Linked DNA regions of Canis lupus familiaris. The protein of the gene in region 4 purifies or fractionates together with the protein of the main gene of each other region. This does not show direct contact. Links are inferred from orthologs where the notes say so. Each region holds a gene or a part of one and is shown on either strand. Other genes may lie near its edges. The genes, in order: SON, FTSJ3, CCDC86, SRPK3 and EBNA1BP2.

What was found.
Region 1: the proteins of SRPK3 (region 4) and SON purify together in Homo sapiens (affinity purification with mass spectrometry; 3 studies listed by BioGRID and IntAct, with this or other methods). This does not show direct contact. The link is inferred for Canis lupus familiaris from reciprocal best matches to the Homo sapiens genes SRPK3 and SON.
Region 2: the proteins of SRPK3 (region 4) and FTSJ3 purify together in Homo sapiens (affinity purification with mass spectrometry; 3 studies listed by BioGRID and IntAct, with this or other methods). This does not show direct contact. The link is inferred for Canis lupus familiaris from reciprocal best matches to the Homo sapiens genes SRPK3 and FTSJ3.
Region 3: the proteins of SRPK3 (region 4) and CCDC86 purify together in Homo sapiens (affinity purification with mass spectrometry; 3 studies listed by BioGRID and IntAct, with this or other methods). This does not show direct contact. The link is inferred for Canis lupus familiaris from reciprocal best matches to the Homo sapiens genes SRPK3 and CCDC86.
Region 5: the proteins of SRPK3 (region 4) and EBNA1BP2 purify together in Homo sapiens (affinity purification with mass spectrometry; 3 studies listed by BioGRID and IntAct, with this or other methods). This does not show direct contact. The link is inferred for Canis lupus familiaris from reciprocal best matches to the Homo sapiens genes SRPK3 and EBNA1BP2.

Annotation. Positions count from the first base shown.
Region 1 is NC_049252.1:28,754,289-28,757,987, forward strand, and holds part of SON (protein SON), read left to right. Parts: intron 1-279; coding exon 280-446; intron 447-2,943; coding exon 2,944-3,699. UniProt on the Homo sapiens protein: RNA-binding protein that acts as a mRNA splicing cofactor by promoting efficient splicing of transcripts that possess weak splice sites.
Region 2 is NC_049230.1:15,142,571-15,146,794, forward strand, and holds the start of FTSJ3 (pre-rRNA 2'-O-ribose RNA methyltransferase FTSJ3), read left to right. Parts: upstream 1-1,226; 5' UTR 1,227-1,364; coding exon 1,365-1,431; intron 1,432-1,601; coding exon 1,602-1,707; intron 1,708-1,963; coding exon 1,964-2,010; intron 2,011-2,135; coding exon 2,136-2,215; intron 2,216-2,664; coding exon 2,665-2,764; intron 2,765-2,857; coding exon 2,858-3,052; intron 3,053-3,123; coding exon 3,124-3,239; intron 3,240-3,356; coding exon 3,357-3,461; intron 3,462-3,548; coding exon 3,549-3,649; intron 3,650-3,873; coding exon 3,874-3,954; intron 3,955-4,037; coding exon 4,038-4,187; intron 4,188-4,224. Other genes in the region: PSMC5 (26S proteasome regulatory subunit 8), read right to left, coding at 302-373, 823-846.
Region 3 is NC_049239.1:56,039,605-56,043,104, forward strand, and holds the end of CCDC86 (coiled-coil domain-containing protein 86), read right to left. Parts: intron 3,290-3,500; coding exon 3,160-3,289; intron 1,676-3,159; coding exon 1,601-1,675; intron 1,408-1,600; coding exon 1,288-1,407; 3' UTR 558-1,287; downstream 1-557.
Region 4 is NC_049260.1:122,785,595-122,787,821, reverse strand, and holds the end of SRPK3 (SRSF protein kinase 3), read right to left. Parts: coding exon 2,112-2,227; intron 2,003-2,111; coding exon 1,902-2,002; intron 1,543-1,901; coding exon 1,435-1,542; intron 1,367-1,434; coding exon 1,124-1,366; intron 987-1,123; coding exon 870-986; coding exon of another isoform or gene 802-869; 3' UTR 549-801; downstream 1-548. Other genes in the region: IDH3G (isocitrate dehydrogenase [NAD] subunit gamma, mitochondrial), read left to right, coding at 1-28, 314-415. UniProt on the Homo sapiens protein: Serine/arginine-rich protein-specific kinase which specifically phosphorylates its substrates at serine residues located in regions rich in arginine/serine dipeptides, known as RS domains.
Region 5 is NC_049236.1:17,083,234-17,086,367, reverse strand, and holds part of EBNA1BP2 (probable rRNA-processing protein EBP2), read right to left. Parts: coding exon 3,051-3,134; intron 1,396-3,050; coding exon 1,320-1,395; intron 846-1,319; coding exon 752-845; intron 1-751. UniProt on the Homo sapiens protein: Required for the processing of the 27S pre-rRNA.

The DNA.
Region 1 (3,699 bases), on a different chromosome or scaffold from region 4:
TATTATTTTTTAAAAAGCTTAGAAAGCTGTTTCAAAGATTTTTTTTTTCTAAAATTCCATGGTTCTGAAAATTAAGTAATTGTGTAAAAATGAAACTGTACTAACTTCTAGTAGATAGGGTGAAAGAAGCACTGTTGGTGGGGAGTATCACCTGAAAGAAAATACAAAAATGGTGAAATGCGTGAACGGTGTAAGATTGTTTCAATCGCGTTAGAAATACTAATTCAGTGTATGGTGTGGTAAAAGTATTAATGAATTTTGGTAACTTTTCTTGTCAAGTGGAAGGAGTGAAGGCCAGCTCAATGGTGAAACAAATACACCTAATGAAGGAAACCAGGCAGGTGATGCAGCTGCCTCTGCCAGGAGCCTCCCAAATGAAGAAATAGTTCAGAAGATAGAGGAAGTACTTTCTGGGGTCTTAGATACAGAACTACGATATAAGCCAGGTAAGTTGGAGATAATTAGCTTTCTCAAAAACTTAAAAATTCTTAAGTAGTTGACAATATTATTTCTTTATGTTGTTTAAAAATGTTCACTTGGAAAAAAAATGTTCACTTGGTCTAAAACTGTAGTAAGTTTGAATTTATTTACTGAAAACTATTCAAAGTCTCTGAAAATACAGTTATATTTAAACATGAGCATTGATACTTGGTTGCTTTGTTGGTGGAATATAACTTTATTTGATTTAGTTTTGTAGTGCTTCTTTACCAGGATTTTGAATGCAGGTTTTCATGGAAAAATTGTTTAAATGTCCATTTTGGAAAGTATAAGAGCCTGAATCAAATTTGTAATGATTTTAAAACCCTAGGAGGTTTTATCCTAAAGCCCAAGTTTAGAGATTGCCTTGTTTTTGCATCTACCTTCTTACAAGTGCAATGAGTAGAGAGGAATCCTTGCTTTGATAATGTATTTTGGGAATTAATTAAATAATTGATGCTTAGAAACGAAAGCTTTATGATCAACCACAGAAATAACTAGCTTTGTTCAGTTTTGGAAATGAGGGGGTGGTATGGGTTTTTATTTTTTATTTTCATTATTTTTGATATAGCATATGGTAAAAAACAACCACCACCACCCAGCTTTGACTCCTGCTATCCTTAGATTTCATGGCTGTAGCAGTTTTTTCTTGAAGTATAACTTAGCTAATTGGTATTAGATATGTAAATAACAAGTAGTATAAAGTAGTTTTTCTTTGAAATGGATCTTGTCTTGTATTCATTTTTTCCATAGTCTTAGTGGCCTGGATTTCTGATCAGCTTTTCTTTTTCTTTTCTTTTTTTTTTTTAAAGATTTTATTTATTCATGAGAATACACAGAGAGGAGAGAGAGAGGCAGAGACACAGGCAGAGGGAGAAGCAGGCTCCATGCAGGGAGCCCGATGTGGGACTCGATCCTGGGTCTCCAGGATCACGCCCTGAGCTGTAGGCAGCGCTAAACCGCTGAGCCACCGGGGCTGCCCCCGATCAGCTTTTCTGGGACCACTAGAATTTAAGTTGGTATTGGCATTAGAGTAAATTAATCTAGTTGTAAAGAAGAAAACTGTTTTCTCTTCAGATACGCGGTGTTTTTAGGTTAAATGTAAAGGGGTATAAGAATTTCTTTCTTGGGCAGCCCCGGTGGCACAGCGGTTTAGCGCCGCTTGCAGCCCGGGGTGTGATCCTGGAGACCTGGGATCGAGTCCCATGTCGGGCTCCCTGCATGGAGCTTGCTTCTCCCTCACCCTCTCCCTCTGCCTGTGTCTGTGCCTCTCTCTCGCTCTCTCTGAATAAATAAATAAATAAATAAATAAATCTTTAAAAAAAGTGAATTTCTTTCCTGAAGGGACTTATTTTTTGAGTGGAAGCATTAAGATTATTTTAGTAATTTTAAAAAGAGCGTTGAAGGAAAAAGTGTTTTTATTAGAAGGTAACATGGGAATTTTAGTGAGATAAAATTCAAGTTTTGTGTTGGCATTTTATATTAGTTGTTCAGTCCTTTCTTTGTATGCTATATAAAAGCAATCACTAGTATTTGAAGGCTTATTATATGGCAGGCATTGTTCAACATACTTTGTATGTTTTAACTCCCTTTGTCCTGTAACTTTAGGAGACAGTGTCATAATTTTGCCAAGTCCATTCACCTAGTGAGTGTTAATTGATATAGGATCTAAAAGCAGACTGTCTGTTCCTGAGCCAGTGGCGTGTTGCTTTGGGTTATTAAATAGTCCTAAAAATTATTTAACAGGTGCATTTTTACAGGAATTTTAAGAGTTGGTAATATGAAGTTTTCTTAAGTGTAGTTTGAAAGTAGCTTGCTATAATTTGTAAGGTGGAGAAAATAGTTGTAAATAAGTTTGGTAAACGCTTTTTTTGTTTTTGTAAGGATTTTATTCATGAGAGAGGCAGAGACATAGGCAGAGGGAGAAGCAAGCTCCTCACAGGGAGCCTGATGTGGGACTCGATCCTGGATCCCGGGATCAGGCCCTGAGCCAAAGGCAGATGCTCAACCACTGAGCCACTCAGGCGTCCCATAGTAAACACATTTTAGCGTGACACTCAAGTTTTTGTGATAAACTGAGAATTTGTTTTTAACCCAGATTTTATTTTTTAAAGATTTTATTTATTTATTCATGAGAGACACACAGAGGCAGAGAGAGAAGCAGGCTCCCTGCAGGAATCCTGATGTGGGACTTGATCCCAGGACTCCAGGGTCATGCCCTGAGCCAAAGGCAGACGCTCAACTGCTGAGCCACCCAAGTTTCCCTTAACCCAGACTTTAGTTGTAGAAAGAAATATTGGGAAAGTTTCAGTCTTTAGGTAATTGGTTCATAGTAAAAAGTTTTAGTTGGTAACTTTATTTAATGAGAAGCATAATACTGTGGTATTTTAACGTGGAATGTAAATCTTGTTTAAGTTTACTGTGGGGAATGTTTGACAAATTAAAATTAACTTTCTTTAATTTCAGACCTGAAGGAGGCCTCCAGAAAAAGTAGATGTGTGTCTGTACAAACAGATCCTACTGATGAAATTCCCACCAAAAAGTCAAAGAAGCATAAAAAGCACAAAAATAAAAAGAAGAAAAAGAAGAAAGAAAAGGAAAAAAAGTATAAAAGACAGCCAGAAGAATCTGAGTCAAAGGTGAAATCACATCATGATGGGAACATAGATTTAGAATCAGATTCCTTTTTGAAGTTTGATTCTGAACCTTCAGCGATGGCACTGGAGCATCCTGTAAGAGCTTTTGGCCTTTCTGAGACCAGTGAATCTCCTGCAGTTGTGTTAGAGCCTCCTGTGGTGTCCATGGAGATATCAGAGTCACACACCTTAGAAACTCTGAAGCCAGCTACAAAAACTGCAGAACTGTCAGTTGCATCAACATCAGTAATTTCAGTGCAGTCAGAGCAGTCTGTGGCACTCACGCTGGAACCATCCATGACAAAGATTCTGGATTCTTTTACAACGGCACCAGTGCCTACTACAACAGTAGTGCTAAAGTCACCTGAGCCAGTTGTAACAATGTCAATGGAGTATCAGATGAAGCCTGTGCTGAAATCTTTGGAGACCATACCTCCAGAGCAGTCACAGATCATATTAGAACCTCCAGTAGCAAAAGGGCTAGAGTCATCGGAAACCCTTGTGGTATCGCCTGAGATACCTACTGAGGTACATCCTGAGCCAAGCACATCAACAACAATGGATTTTCCAGAGTCGTCTGCAACTG
Region 2 (4,224 bases), on a different chromosome or scaffold from region 4:
TCTCATCCCAGCTTCCGCGTTACCTTTTATAAGAAACCCTCAATTCAAACTTCTAAAAGGAATAGTACTTGGCAAAGAGTACCTCTTACGTCAAAATCTGACAGCCAACGATGTGTAATAAACCGTGTATACTGATTACCTTCAAAGGGTGAGAAGTGAGAGAAACAAGAAACTTAACTTCATATACTCCTATCCTTGACCAGTTACTTCTTCCACTGCGCCCCCACCGGACTACGTGGGTTTATATAAACATACTCCAGTCCCTCATCCCCTCCTAGCTGCCTCTGTAGTCCATCCTCACCTGGAGTTCTTCGATCTTGGACAGATAATATTGGCGGAGTCCACTGCCTGCCTTCCCCTCTTCCAGCTCCATCTGAAGACACAGGGTAATTATTAGCCCCCCAACCCCCAAAATGCAAGGGAAAAAAGCCTGGACTTTGGAGGAATGGGATTTGGGTTGAATTCCTCAGTCATCTCTTTAGAACCCTCCACTTCCCCGCGACTAACTCAAAGCAGAAGGAGAATGCCGCCTACCTCGTAAGACTTTCAGGAGGATCAAGGGACAACATGCACGAGAGCGCTTTGTACCGAGCCATCTTCCCCTCATTCGCTCCGCTTCCCCCGGGTCTTTCTCTCCCGGCCCTGCTCTGACCCGCCGCGGGCGGCGCTGACACAGCAGATCCGGTCCCGCGCAGGGCCCAGTCTGGATTGGTCCACCCACCCAACCCACCCGACCCCCTTGCCTCGGCCGTCTGCCCACCTCGGATCGCGCCTGCTTCGCATCGAGGCCCCGTCCCCACCCGGCCACCGCAGCCGCCGTACCTGCTCCGGCCCGTCAAGCGCCATCTTCTCTCACCCACGGCGGCCGCCGGCATCCGAGCCACCTTGGCGCGCAGGCGCAAAAATAGGGGCTTGGGGCCCGGCGACCCTGACAGAGAAGAATTCCGGGTCAATGGGCGGGGTGTGCGTCGCGACGACTACAAAAACAGAGGCCATGATGAGAAGGTGGCTACGCGAGGTCAGGAGCTTGGAAAGGGATGAGGAGGCCACGGAACTCCTAAATGTTGCTCTCTAGGAACTCAGTTTTAGATCAGGTAATCCGCTCACCTGGTCCCAACTTCCAACTTGCAATACTTAAGGACATAAAGAAAACTTTTCGGCCACGCTCAAAATGGCGGAAACTTGGAGCCGGAGACGCAAGCGACGCAAGCGGAAACGGAAGTACGTGTGCTGCCCCCCACGTGCCTCTCTCAGAGTGGTGAAAAAGGCAGAGATTCCCCGTGCTTGCAGAGACAAGTGGGGGACGGAAAGCGGCGTTTCAATTTTTCTGTCCCCAGGTTAAGTGACAGTCCTCCCGTTCCACTATGGGCAAGAAGGGCAAAGTCGGGAAGAGCCGGCGGGACAAGTTCTATCACTTGGCGAAGGAGACCGGTGAGTCAGGGTCCGCGCTGTCTGCGAGCTAAGGAGGGACGTTTTCGATTCTCTCCCACCTTTCCGAATACTGAGTTTCCGTTCTGTAGACGGGGTGGTGGGTTGTGAAGTCGCAGAAATCTCCCTGGGAAAGCCCCCCGCCGAGTTTAACATTTTGTCGGTGCCCCCAGGTTACCGCTCCCGCTCTGCTTTCAAGCTGATCCAGTTGAATCGCCGTTTTCAGTTCCTGCAGAAAGCACGAGCCTTGCTGGACCTGTGTGCTGCGCCCGGGGGATGGTGGGTACACCCGGCACCTGCGGCTCTTTGTGGCTGCGTTGAGGGTCCCGGCCGTGGAGGACTTGGAGTGGCACTGGGGGGCGGGAGGGATACGGCAATACCAGTCTCATGCTTTTCCTAGACGTAGGTCGGGGCACTGCACTTGGTAGCGCCTCTTAAGGCACGCGGTGAGAGAGCCTATTGCCAAGGGAGGGGGAGGAACGGTCTTGAGTTATTGTAGTCTTGAGTTATTTTAGTCGGCATTACTCTTTTCTAGGCTGCAGGTGGCTGCTAAGTTTATGCCTGTATCCAGCCTTATTGTGGGTGAGTAACGGATGGGCCCCCTGAGTGGTAAAGGGGTGGGAGAATGAGATACTAATTGTGTTCTGCATTTCCTTTCTCCTTGCTTAGGGCATCCCTTTGTAACTTTCTGACCTGATTTATTGCAGGAGTGGACCTGGTTCCAATCAAGCCTCTTCCCAATGTGGTGACACTCCAGGAGGACATCACAACAGAACGCTGTAGGCAGGTAACAGGAATCGCTCTTTTTCTGCGTCCTTTCTTTGGAGACACCCAAGTTTGTCTGTCTCGCCATCCCAAGTTCTCTAAAGGCAAGCCTTTTCTGTTTAACACATCTTAAGCAGTGCCTGTAGGATCTATATGACAAGGCTTATGATACAGCTTAGTCTTCAGTCCAGGCTTTTTTAAGTCAGGGGTGAGGTGTTTGGAAGAAGAGCAGCGATGTTGTTGAAATCTTTTCTTTGGGCTTGCAAGTAGACTGTAAGCTCTGTGAAGATAAATGCAATTTTGTTGTTGTTGCTTAATCATTATGTACCTGGCACAGGATTTGGCCAAATGCAGGCTATTCAGTAAATGATTGGGTGGACAAATGGCTGAATGAGGAATTGCATTCATAGCCATTTTTGTATTTCTGTTGGTATAATTGTTTTGTTTTGTTTTGTTTTGTTTTGTCTGAAGGCCCTGAGAAAGGAACTGAAGACCTGGAAAGTTGATGTTGTGCTCAACGATGGGGCCCCCAATGTTGGGGCTAGCTGGGTCCATGATGCTTACTCACAAGGTGCTGGGAGTAGGGGGACATGGAGATGAGGGTGGAGGTAGGCATGCTCTCTCAGGCTGCAGAGGTCCTCAGCTAATTGTTTCTCTCCCACAGCCCATTTGACACTGATGGCTCTACGTTTGGCTTGTGATTTTCTGGCCCGTGGTGGCTGCTTCATCACAAAGGTTTTTCGTTCCCGTGACTATCAGCCCCTACTGTGGATCTTCCAGCAGCTCTTTCACCGTGTCCAGGCCACTAAGCCCCAAGCCTCTCGCCATGAATCTGCGGAGATCTTTGTAGTTTGCCAGGGTGGGCATCATTTTTTTGTTTCTTAGCAGCTTTTACCAAAGTACGCTTTCTTACATATCCTATCGCTTTAGGATTCCTGGCTCCTGACAAGGTTGACAGTAAGTTCTTTGATCCCAAATTTGCCTTCAAGGAGATTGAAGTTCAGGCCAAGACTGTTACTGAATTGGTGACTAAGAAAAAGCCAAAGGTGGGTTTGGGGAATGGGGCCACTCTCCAGTCCTGGAGTCTGGGGGAAGTTGGGTCTGGTGGGTCCTATAGACATTTTAGAAGGGAATTTTCAACCTTCATTCTTTTTCTCTGTAAGGCTGAAGGCTATGCTGAGGGTGATCTCACGCTCTATCACCGTGCTTCAGTCACTGACTTCCTCCGAGCTGCCAACCCCGTTGATTTCCTCTCCAAAGCCAGCGAAGTGAGTCGTCAGATCTGAGGGGTATAGGGAAGCGCCAGAAACATGTCCATAAAAATTTCCCTGACTTGTTTCCTTCCTCCCAAACAGATCTCCCTGGATGATGAAGAGTTGGCACAGCATCCAGCTACCACTGAGGATATCTGGGCATGCTGTCAGGATATCAAAGTGCTAGGGCGCAAGGAGCTTAGGTATGCAGTTGGGATGGGCACAGAGCTAGGAGCCCCGAGGGCAGGGAAAGGCCTTTGAAGATGCAGCAGCTTTTTTTTTCTTGAGGGGACAATTTGAGGAATTCATATAGTGTTGGATCTTGGGACACACATGCTACTGTGCTAGAGATTTGAGGTGGGGGCCTAAAAAGGGGACAAGGACAAAGAAGGAAATGGTAAGATTAGTCATTATATTTCTGGGACAGGTCCCTACTGAACTGGAGAACAAAGCTCCGGCGATATGTGGCCAAGAAGCTGAAAGAGCAAGCAAAGGCACTGGACATCAGGTAAGGAAGGAATGGAACTAGGGTAGGTGGGGGCTGGGGGATTGTGTGAGGAAATAACCAAGGTGCTTGTACTGTTTTGTCAGCCTCAGTTCAGGAGAGGAAGAGGAGGAGGAGGAGGGTGAAGAGTCTGAGGCCGGGACTGGGAGGCAGCCCTCTAAAGAGGAGGAGGAGGAAGAACAATTAAACCGGACCCTGGCAGAGATGAAGGCCCAGGAGGTAGCAGAATTAAAGAGGTGAGAGGAGTGGGGAGGAGCTTGGGGAACCTCACCG
Region 3 (3,500 bases), on a different chromosome or scaffold from region 4:
AAGTGCAGCGGGCATCTCTGCTGAAGGTCTTCTCGTTCTTAGTATTTGAGTGTGCGCAGCAGCCTCCGAGACCACAGCACATGACATGTACAGGCCGGTATTCCATGGGATGCCCCGTGGGCAACGCTGGTAATCCTCATGTTCCCAACACCTGCGTCCCAACCACTTAGAGGCTGGGTGGCTGTCCCTTCCAGGGCGTGGATGTGACGGCCACCTTGGGCCTCCCTTGTTAGCACATCCACTGCGCCAGGTTTCCTCTACCCACCACGCACCAGAGGACAAAGAGCGCTGCACTCGGGTCTGTCCCGGGGCCTGGTGCAGAGCTGTGGCCAGTAACTGGTGGGTGAAATGCTAGTAGAAGAGTGGAGGGAGAGACGTTCTTGGGGTCTGGGTCCAGTGCTGCCTGAGCCACTCCTGGCTGGGGGCCTGAAGGCGGGCGGCCAGCTTACGGTTTCCGCAGCAGGGGCTCAGCAGACTGAACACACACCCATCTTATCACCTTGCCACACTCCCTGCGACCCTCCCCTGCTTCATTTGTAGCACTTCTCACAGTCTGATACACAATACTATTTCCTTGTTTATTAGGTTTTTTTCCATCAGAATGAAAAATGCCCCTTTGTGGGCAGGGGCCTCTGTCTGTATTCCCCATACCTAGAATTGTGCCTGTACACAATGGGTGTTCAATAAATATTTTTATTACAGACTGAATGGTCTGAGTGAATCAGATGCCCAGGTAGCCTTCTCACAGTCCAAGAGAGGTGAGAGCGCGCTGGGGGGGGCGGGGAACGTCATTCCCCGCAACCTCCTTCACCCTTCCATGTTGAAAACTCGGGGAAACCGGGTTCCAACAGCTGGGTGACAGGGTCAGTGGGCTGCAGAGATGCCCAAGGCAGCCTCTGGGATGGTGCAAGGGGAACTGGTTCCTGACTGCAGTCTCCTGGTCAGGGGCGAACCTGTGACCTTGAGACAGAAATACACATTTTGAAGAGTCACCCTCCAGCTGTCAGCTCCCAAGGAACCAGAGAACTGACTCTTTGTGGTTGTAAGGCACTTGATGAAAGAGGAAGGAGGCAGGGGTGGGCTGAACCTGTTCCCTCCTCTAGTTCTGCCAGGCTCCTGGCTTCCTAGGGCTTGAGAGCCCTCAAAGGCCTATAGCCTCTCTGGGGTGGAGGAGGGTGGCACTAGTGTTGGAGTACCACATCCCACAGAGGCGTGTGACCACTGGCCCGGCAAGTGCCGAGTCTGACATAGCGGTTGGTCACAGGAGACTTCTGGGTTGTCCTGAGCTCAAATCTTGGCTGCTGGCTGCTGGGACGGCTGTTTCTGCAGCAGCGCCAGCGTATCCCTCTTCTGAATGGAGCGAAGCTGTTTCTTCTTTGCCCGCTTGAGCTTGGCGGGGTTTCGGATCTGGGGGTGGTGTGAGAAGAGGGCATTAGTAGGTTGTAGTCTCTGCCCTGTGCCCCAGGGGGAAGGGAGGCTGCCCCACAGGGGTCTGGATCACAGAACAAGGAGAGGTCTCGAGGCAGGGGTGTCGAGGCATCTCGAACACAGTGCCCAGCCTGGCTGCGGTTCAGATCCCCGTGAGCAAGACAACACTCACCACTTGGACAACCTCTGCCCTCCGCTCATTCTCCAGGCGGCGTTTCAGGTTCTCAGCCCGGCGCTGTTTCTTCTCCTGGAACACACAGGGGGATGAGGATTTGAGTCTGGGAGCTGGGACAGCCCTGGTTGCTTAGGTCTCAGAAGAGTCAGAGCTGGCTGAGTTCCCAAGGAGAGGAAAGACCTTCACCTTAGTTCAATTGTTCCTGGTGGTATGTGGGGGGAGGGCCAGCAAGGAGATATGCCTGTGCCCCTGGAACCAGAGGCCCACTGTGGTGGGAAGTTCCTGACTGCAGCCAAGAAGTTGGGCACCTGGTCACGTAGCCTAGATAGGATGGTGGGTAGGGGGCAGTGAGACACAGTGGCTCCCCCCACCTGGAAGCTTGGGCATGCACAGTGGTCTCTTTCCTCCTTCCCACCCTCACAGGGTCCCTAAGGTTTGCCCAGGTGTGGGCTGGGAGGGGTGGAGGCCATAGGGAAGAGGCTCCCGAGCTGTCTGGCCCTGACTCAAGTCCTGCCTCTGCTACTTCCAAATGGGTGACCTTGGCCAAGCTGCTGAACCTCTCTGTGCGTCAGGTACCCGGCCCAGGGGGGACACTTCAAAGATGGATCTAGGTGGAGTCTTTCTCGGGAATGGGAAGTGCGGTGCCTCCTGGCTATGCTGCCTGCTGTCCCTGGTGGGGCCTGAGGCCACGGCATGGTCAGGAGAGCAGAGGTGGCCTGGGCCCCAGAGGAGGAGAAAGGAGAAGTAAGATATGGGCTCCTGTTGGGGGAAGGGTTGGGCTGGGGGCGCTCCTGGGGGGCGGTGACAAGAAGTCGGGTCTTGCCCAAGAGGGAGTCAGGGCCACACAGGAAGTATGATAAGGAGTCGGCACACAGCAGCAGCCACAGTCTGCAGGGCCTCAGCCACAGGCTGGACTGGTGGGGTGACTCAAAGCAGGGGATGGAGGACTGAACGTACTGGCCTAGCCCCTGCCCTCGGTGGCCAGGTTCAGGGTGAGGTGTTTGACTTCTCCCGTGCCCTGGGATCACTAGGCAAGTAACATCCCTGACAACCCCAGGCCTGGCGTGCTGCCTGCTGGGGCTTCCTGGAGACTGGAAGGGGTCGATGGGAACCTCTAAAGGGGCATTTCTGGCCTGGGGATGAGTGTCAGGGAGCAAGCTGGAGGGAAGTACAGGCACCCACCTTGCTGATAAGTGGTAGCTGTTTCTTGGAGAATGATGGCCACAGTACGAGGGATAAGCCTTTCTCCTATGGAGGTGCGGACCCTGAAGCCCATCTCACCAAATGCTGCTATCAGCAGTGAGAGCCACCATGGGGGTGGGGAGCAGGGGGACTTTGTCCTGGGCTCCTCCCCATACTTGAGTCTCTTACAGAGCCCTGGGCCAAACTGGACCTTCCACTGGGCTTTCCCACCCTGCAGGCCATACTGGACTTCTGCTTCTGGCCAGGCTCCCTGCCTCCCTGTGGCAGTTAGGTGCCCCCTCCAAGGCCTATTACAGCAGTCACCGGCTCAGCTCCCTGAGCTCCAGCCTCAGCCTGGTTGGCCGGCCCCTCACCTGCTGGCGTTTCTCCTTCTCCTCCTCTAAATGCCGGGCGAGGTCCTTGGCCAGCTTCCTCTCCTGCCGTTCCTTCATCTTCTGCTGCCAGGATGTACGCAGGGGCTTGCTCTGTACCATCTGGGAGAACCTGGATGGGAGACCAGGGATGAGTGCTCAGGTCATCCATGGGAGGCCCCCATGCCTCTTCTTCTCTCAGCTCCAGGCTCTGGGCCTTCCTCCTCAGAACCCAGGCAGAACTACATGCTCTCCTACCTGCTTGCCAGGCAGGCACCCCTCTGGGTCTGCAGAAACGGGGGTAGGAGTGGGCCCCTATCATGCCAGCTGCCATTTCTTAAGCC
Region 4 (2,227 bases):
CGTGTTGGCATCCATGGACAACGAAAATGTGAGGCTCCGCTTCTCCCCTCCCCTGCCTTCCCCCCAGCCCCTTCCCCCAGGAGGGCTGGAGCTGGTGTGCCATCTGAGGGGCAGGAAGTGGTGACCTGGCACCTCCCACTGCCCCCAAGGGGAGGGCGGAACCAGGCAGGGTAGGGCTTTCTGGACCTGAGCTGGTCCCGCTGCCCCTCCAAGCCATGGGAGATAGTGGGCTGCCCTCGGGCTGCCTACAGGGTGGGGGTCAGGTGTTGGCAGGTCCCGGGTGTGTGTGCCCGAGCCTGTCTGTCTCCCGCAGATGCACACCCCCGACATAGGAGGCCAAGGCACTACGTCGGAAGCCATCCAGGACATCATCCGCCACATCCGCATCATCAACGGCCGGGCCGTGGAAGCCTAGGCGGTCCCTGGGACTGCCTCCACCCGCTACCCCTTCCCACTGCCGGCACTGCAGCCAGGTGGGTGGGCAGACCGAGAATAAACCACCCTCTGTCCCCTCTCTCGGCCGCCGCGCTCCTGTCACTCCAGGATGCTGACGTTTCAGCTCACACTTTATTAAGAAAAGAAATACGCACACTTCCCACTCAGGGCCCTTTGTGAGGGTTGGGGGCAGAACGAATTCTAAACGGTGGGCCAGGCTCCAGCATCTTCCTGCCCTGCCACGGGCTATGAGAAAGCTGGCACCCAGGAGGGTGGCAGGAGGCATCCCGCCTTCCCTGAAGGCACTGGGAGGGGCATGAGGGTGATCAAGGCCCGCCTCAAGCTGCACAAAGTGCCCGTCGAGGCCTAGGGGTTGAGCCAGGGGTGCTGGAGGCAGTCGGCGGCGCTGGCCCGCTTTTCGGGGATGTATTCCATCATGGGCAGCAGGAAGGCGCTGAACTGCGTGGCCTGCTCCAGGGGCCACTCGTACTTCTCCATGAGCACCTCGTACAGGCCCCAGTGCTTGAGGTTGTGGATGTGCCGCAGCTCTCCTGGGGGGTGGGGGGGCAGTGGCCTTGGGTGAGGCTCTGCCGGGAGGGCCCCGGGACCCGGCACTCCCCCTGCTTGGGAGCCTGTGGGCCCTGCCCTACCCTGGACATCCAGGAGAACGGAGCCTGCTCAGTCCTACCTCTCCGGTTGAAGAACTCCCGGGAGTAGCGGCCTGAGAGGGCAAAGGCTGGGGGGATGTCTCCCAGAAGCTCCACAATGTGGGCGATGTGGTCTGTAGACAGAGAGGAGGCTGGGGGGCAGCCGGGCGGCTGGGAGGCCCCGAGGCTGAGCCCAGGGCCGGCCTCCCCCTACCCTCGTCACGACTGTAGTCTTCTCCAGAGTGAGGCTCGAATAGGTAGTCGCCGGTGGCCAGCTCGAAGGCCTGGAAGGGGGAGAAGGTGAGGCTGCCAGCCGGTGGGCTGGCCCTGGGCAGCCCCAGCTGAGGCATACCATGCACGCCGTGCTCCAGATGTCGGCGGGGGGCCCGTATTCCGCTCCGATCAGCACTTCCACAGCCCGGTACTGGCGAGTCTGGATGTCCTCGGTGAAGTGCTTGTGCTGGAGGCAAGGGGAGCCCTGGGGAGCAGCCGGGGCCACAGCCGGCCTGCCCCCACTGGCCCCCACCATCTCCCACCGCCTCTGGGCCCATGAACCCAAGGAGCCCAGTGGGGTTCGCTCAGCCTCAGGGTCCCCAGAGGTCCCGAGAGGGACTGGCCTCCCCGCCCCTTGCAGTGGGTCCAGTTCCGCTGACTGGATGGGACAGATGCTGGTTTGGGCCCAGTCCTGGGTCTGAGTCATGAGGCAGACCCTGGGGTCTGGTCGAGTGGCACTGTGGGCCCCAACGGGCTCCTTGGGAGCGGGCCTGCGCCCCTGCCCTCAGCAGGGTGCCCAGCTCTGCTCTCCAGGCCAGCTCATACCACCCAGCAGGCGTTGCCCAGGTCTGCGATCTTGATCTTGATCTTGTCTGCGTTTTGGGGCTCTAGGGGGTTCACCAGGAGGTTTGAGGCACCAAACGGTGCTGGAGAAGGAAGAGAAGTGGGGAGAGACTGAGCTGGCCTGGGGTGGGGGCAGGCAGCCCTGCCCGCCGGCCACCCACCAAGTCTACCCACAGGCCCTGCCCAACTTACTGCTGGGTGACAGGAGGCCCCCGGTCTCCCGTTGGTTGGAGGAGCCTGAGAGGATGGAGCACGAGGCAGGAGAGAAAAGGGAGCCGGAGAAGCCTGAGGTCTGGGAGCCCGGGCTG
Region 5 (3,134 bases), on a different chromosome or scaffold from region 4:
TGAGTGAAATAAGTCAATTGGAGAAGGACAAACATTATATGGTCTCATTCACTTGGAGAATATAAAAAATAGTGAAAGGGAATAAAGGGGAAAGGAGAGAAAATGAGTGGGAAATATCAGAAAGGGAGACAGAATATGAGAGACTCCTAACTCTGGGAAACGAACAAGGGGTGGTGGAAAGGGAGGTGGGCAGGGGGTGGGGGTGACTGGGTGACCGGCACTGAGGGCACTTGATGGGATGAGCACTGGGTGTTATGCTATATGTTGGCAAATTGAACTCAAAAAAAAAAAAAAAAAAAAAAAAGGCAAGAAACTTGCTCAAAACTACCCAAAATGGTGGACTTTAGACCCTAACCCTAGGTCTATACACTTAACCATTGTGCTGTGAGATGAGGAATCTACTTCTACTAAATATTCACTTAAAATGTGCCAGATGCTTAAATCACCCTACTTTAGTTTTTTGTTTTTTTTTTTAAGTAAGCTCTACGTCCAACGTGGGGCTTGAACTCACAGCCCCAAGATCAAGAGTCAAATGCTCTACTGACTGTGCTAGCCAGGCGCTCCCTAGATCACCCTACTTTAATCTTCTAAGACTGATATGGCTAAAAGGATCCATCACATAGGCCTTTAGCCTTGGCTGCAGGTAGCACTGCGCTCTCTCAACCCTGAGGCCACTCCTATGGTCTCCCCAACTTGCCCCTGGACTGCCTGCCCAGTACCCACCACAAAACCAAACCAGAATCCTTCATACCCCTTCTTCATCTGCTGGCTTTTTGCTCCTTCCTTTGTTTTCCGTGCAACGGGTTTCTGATCCCCCTCAAGAAAATCCAGTTTATCAGAAAAGCCTGGGGGTGAAAAGGTACTTTGATCAGCATTAACACATTTTAAGAAAAACTGAAGCTTCAAAAGAAGGTTGTTACTTAAAAAAAAAAAAAAAAAAAGGTGGTTACTTGCTAAATTAATTTAAATTTTTTTTTTAATTTTTTTTTTTTTTTTTTTTTTTTTTTATGATAGTCACACAGAGAGAGAGAGAGGCAGAGACACAGGCAGAGGGAGAAGCAGGCTCCATGCACCGGGAGCCCGACGTGGGATTCGATCCTGGGTCTCCAGGATCGCGCCCTGGGCCAAAGGCAGGCGCCAAACCGCTGCGCCACCCAGGGATCCCGCTAAATTAATTTTAAGAGGCATATTCTGCTCCCCACACTGTTCCCAAACCTTAGGTCCAATGGTTCCAAATCAATCAAGGCTCTAGAAGCAGGATATGTTAAAATAGCAGCGGCCCCTGCTCCCCTATATCCTTAGAAGGGAGATATACTGACCTTTCTGATATTTCTTAATGGCATTCATCATATGTGTTTTCTCTCGCTGCCTCTTCTGAAGAACCTCTGTTTGCACCTGGGACATGAACATAGGGCTGTCACACCCACTCCAGACCACCATCATTGCAAGTGTCTACATCCGCTTGGTAACACTATGCTAACACCGCGGCCACTTAACATTTACTGTGTGCCAGAACTATGGTAAAGCTCTAAGTGTATTCTTAGTTTATCTTCTCAGCTACCCCATGAAGCAGAAATTCCTAACACTCCCTGAAATTGAAGCACAGAGAGCCTAAGTAACTTGCCTGAGTCACACAGCAAGAAAGTGTACAGCTGAATTCACACCCAGGGGTCTACACTCTTACCTGATTACACAATTCTGCCTACAAAACCATAGCAAGTCACATCTAGATCTACAATCAATTCTCAGGTTCTGTATCTAGCCCCTACTGTTAGTAGGCATGAAAGTATCAACAGAAACAATCCCCCCAAAAAACGAAAAGCAAAACAGTTGTAAGGATAAAAACAGATGCTTCCATTCGAAGGCAGCGTTTTCAATCTCAATACTATTGATAGCTTGGACAGGATCACTCTTTATGGAGGGGTGGATGGCCTGTCCTGGGCACTGTAGGACATTTTGCAGCCTCCCTGCCCTCTATCCACTAGATCTGAGTAGCTCAGTCCCCATTGAGATGTGACACCAAAAATATCTCCAGGCATTGCTGAATATTCCCTGCTAAGCAAAATTATCCCCAACTGAGAACCACTGACATGATGTTTCCTCAAATTAGAAGCAGTGAGCTAACAGGCCCAAAGGAAGTTTTTCTTCGCCTTTGATCAATTAGGTTCCGTTACTACCAACCACTTAGGCCCTTGAGTTGACCTCAACCATCAACTACCAGATCAATCCAATAAATGCAGAGCTGCCCTTCTGCAGAGAACAGGATGCTAATCTACTCTTACTCTGCTGAGGACTTGTCAGTGAAATGACTCCAAATGTGGACAGCAGCACAGCACCCCAGATCATGAATGTTTATGTCCAAAAATGCTGACAAAGTCTGAACACTCATGTTGATCCTCCTTACACTCACTTCTTCCCACTACCCTGACTTTAATTCCTGTCATCGTCTTTCCCAAAGAACCATGAAATAAAGAGGAAAAACCAAGGACACTTTCCCTAGATTTTAAATTAGAACTCAGACATCCACAGCAGTTCAAGCACACAGGTGCCATTTGTCCTCTCACTTGGATGACAATCAATGATATGGTTCCTTCAAAGACTTAACAAACATCTAGGCCAGCGATTCTCCAAAGCAGGATGCATTTCAGAATCATGTAAAAAGTTTTGCGGGGAAGAGAAGACAATACCTGCAGATTCCCTGACACCCTGAAGCCTAGAAATCTGTTTTGAAAAATTTTCCCAGGTGGTTTTGCTGTAGAGTGGGGTTTGGCCCCACTGATTTGAACCCAACTCTTCACTGTACAGATGTGCAAATGAATGACACACCTGCAGTTACCAGGCTACCTCCTCCCACCCAGCCCTGCCCCCTCAAGACTCCAGTGTCAAGGAAAGATGGTGTTTACGAATCCAAGCACACATCCCCCCTCTGCAGTGCAATAATCAACACAAGATGGAACAGACACAGGGCACAGAACCAGATCGGACCCCGGCACCCCGGGCTGACAAACACTCAGCAACATCCTATGCCCACCACACACTTTCCTTCTCACCTTCTTCCCATATTTCCTAAGTGCTCGCAGTTGCTTCGCCTTTTCAGACTTCTCCATGGCTGCCTGTTTAGCCTGCAGCTTCTG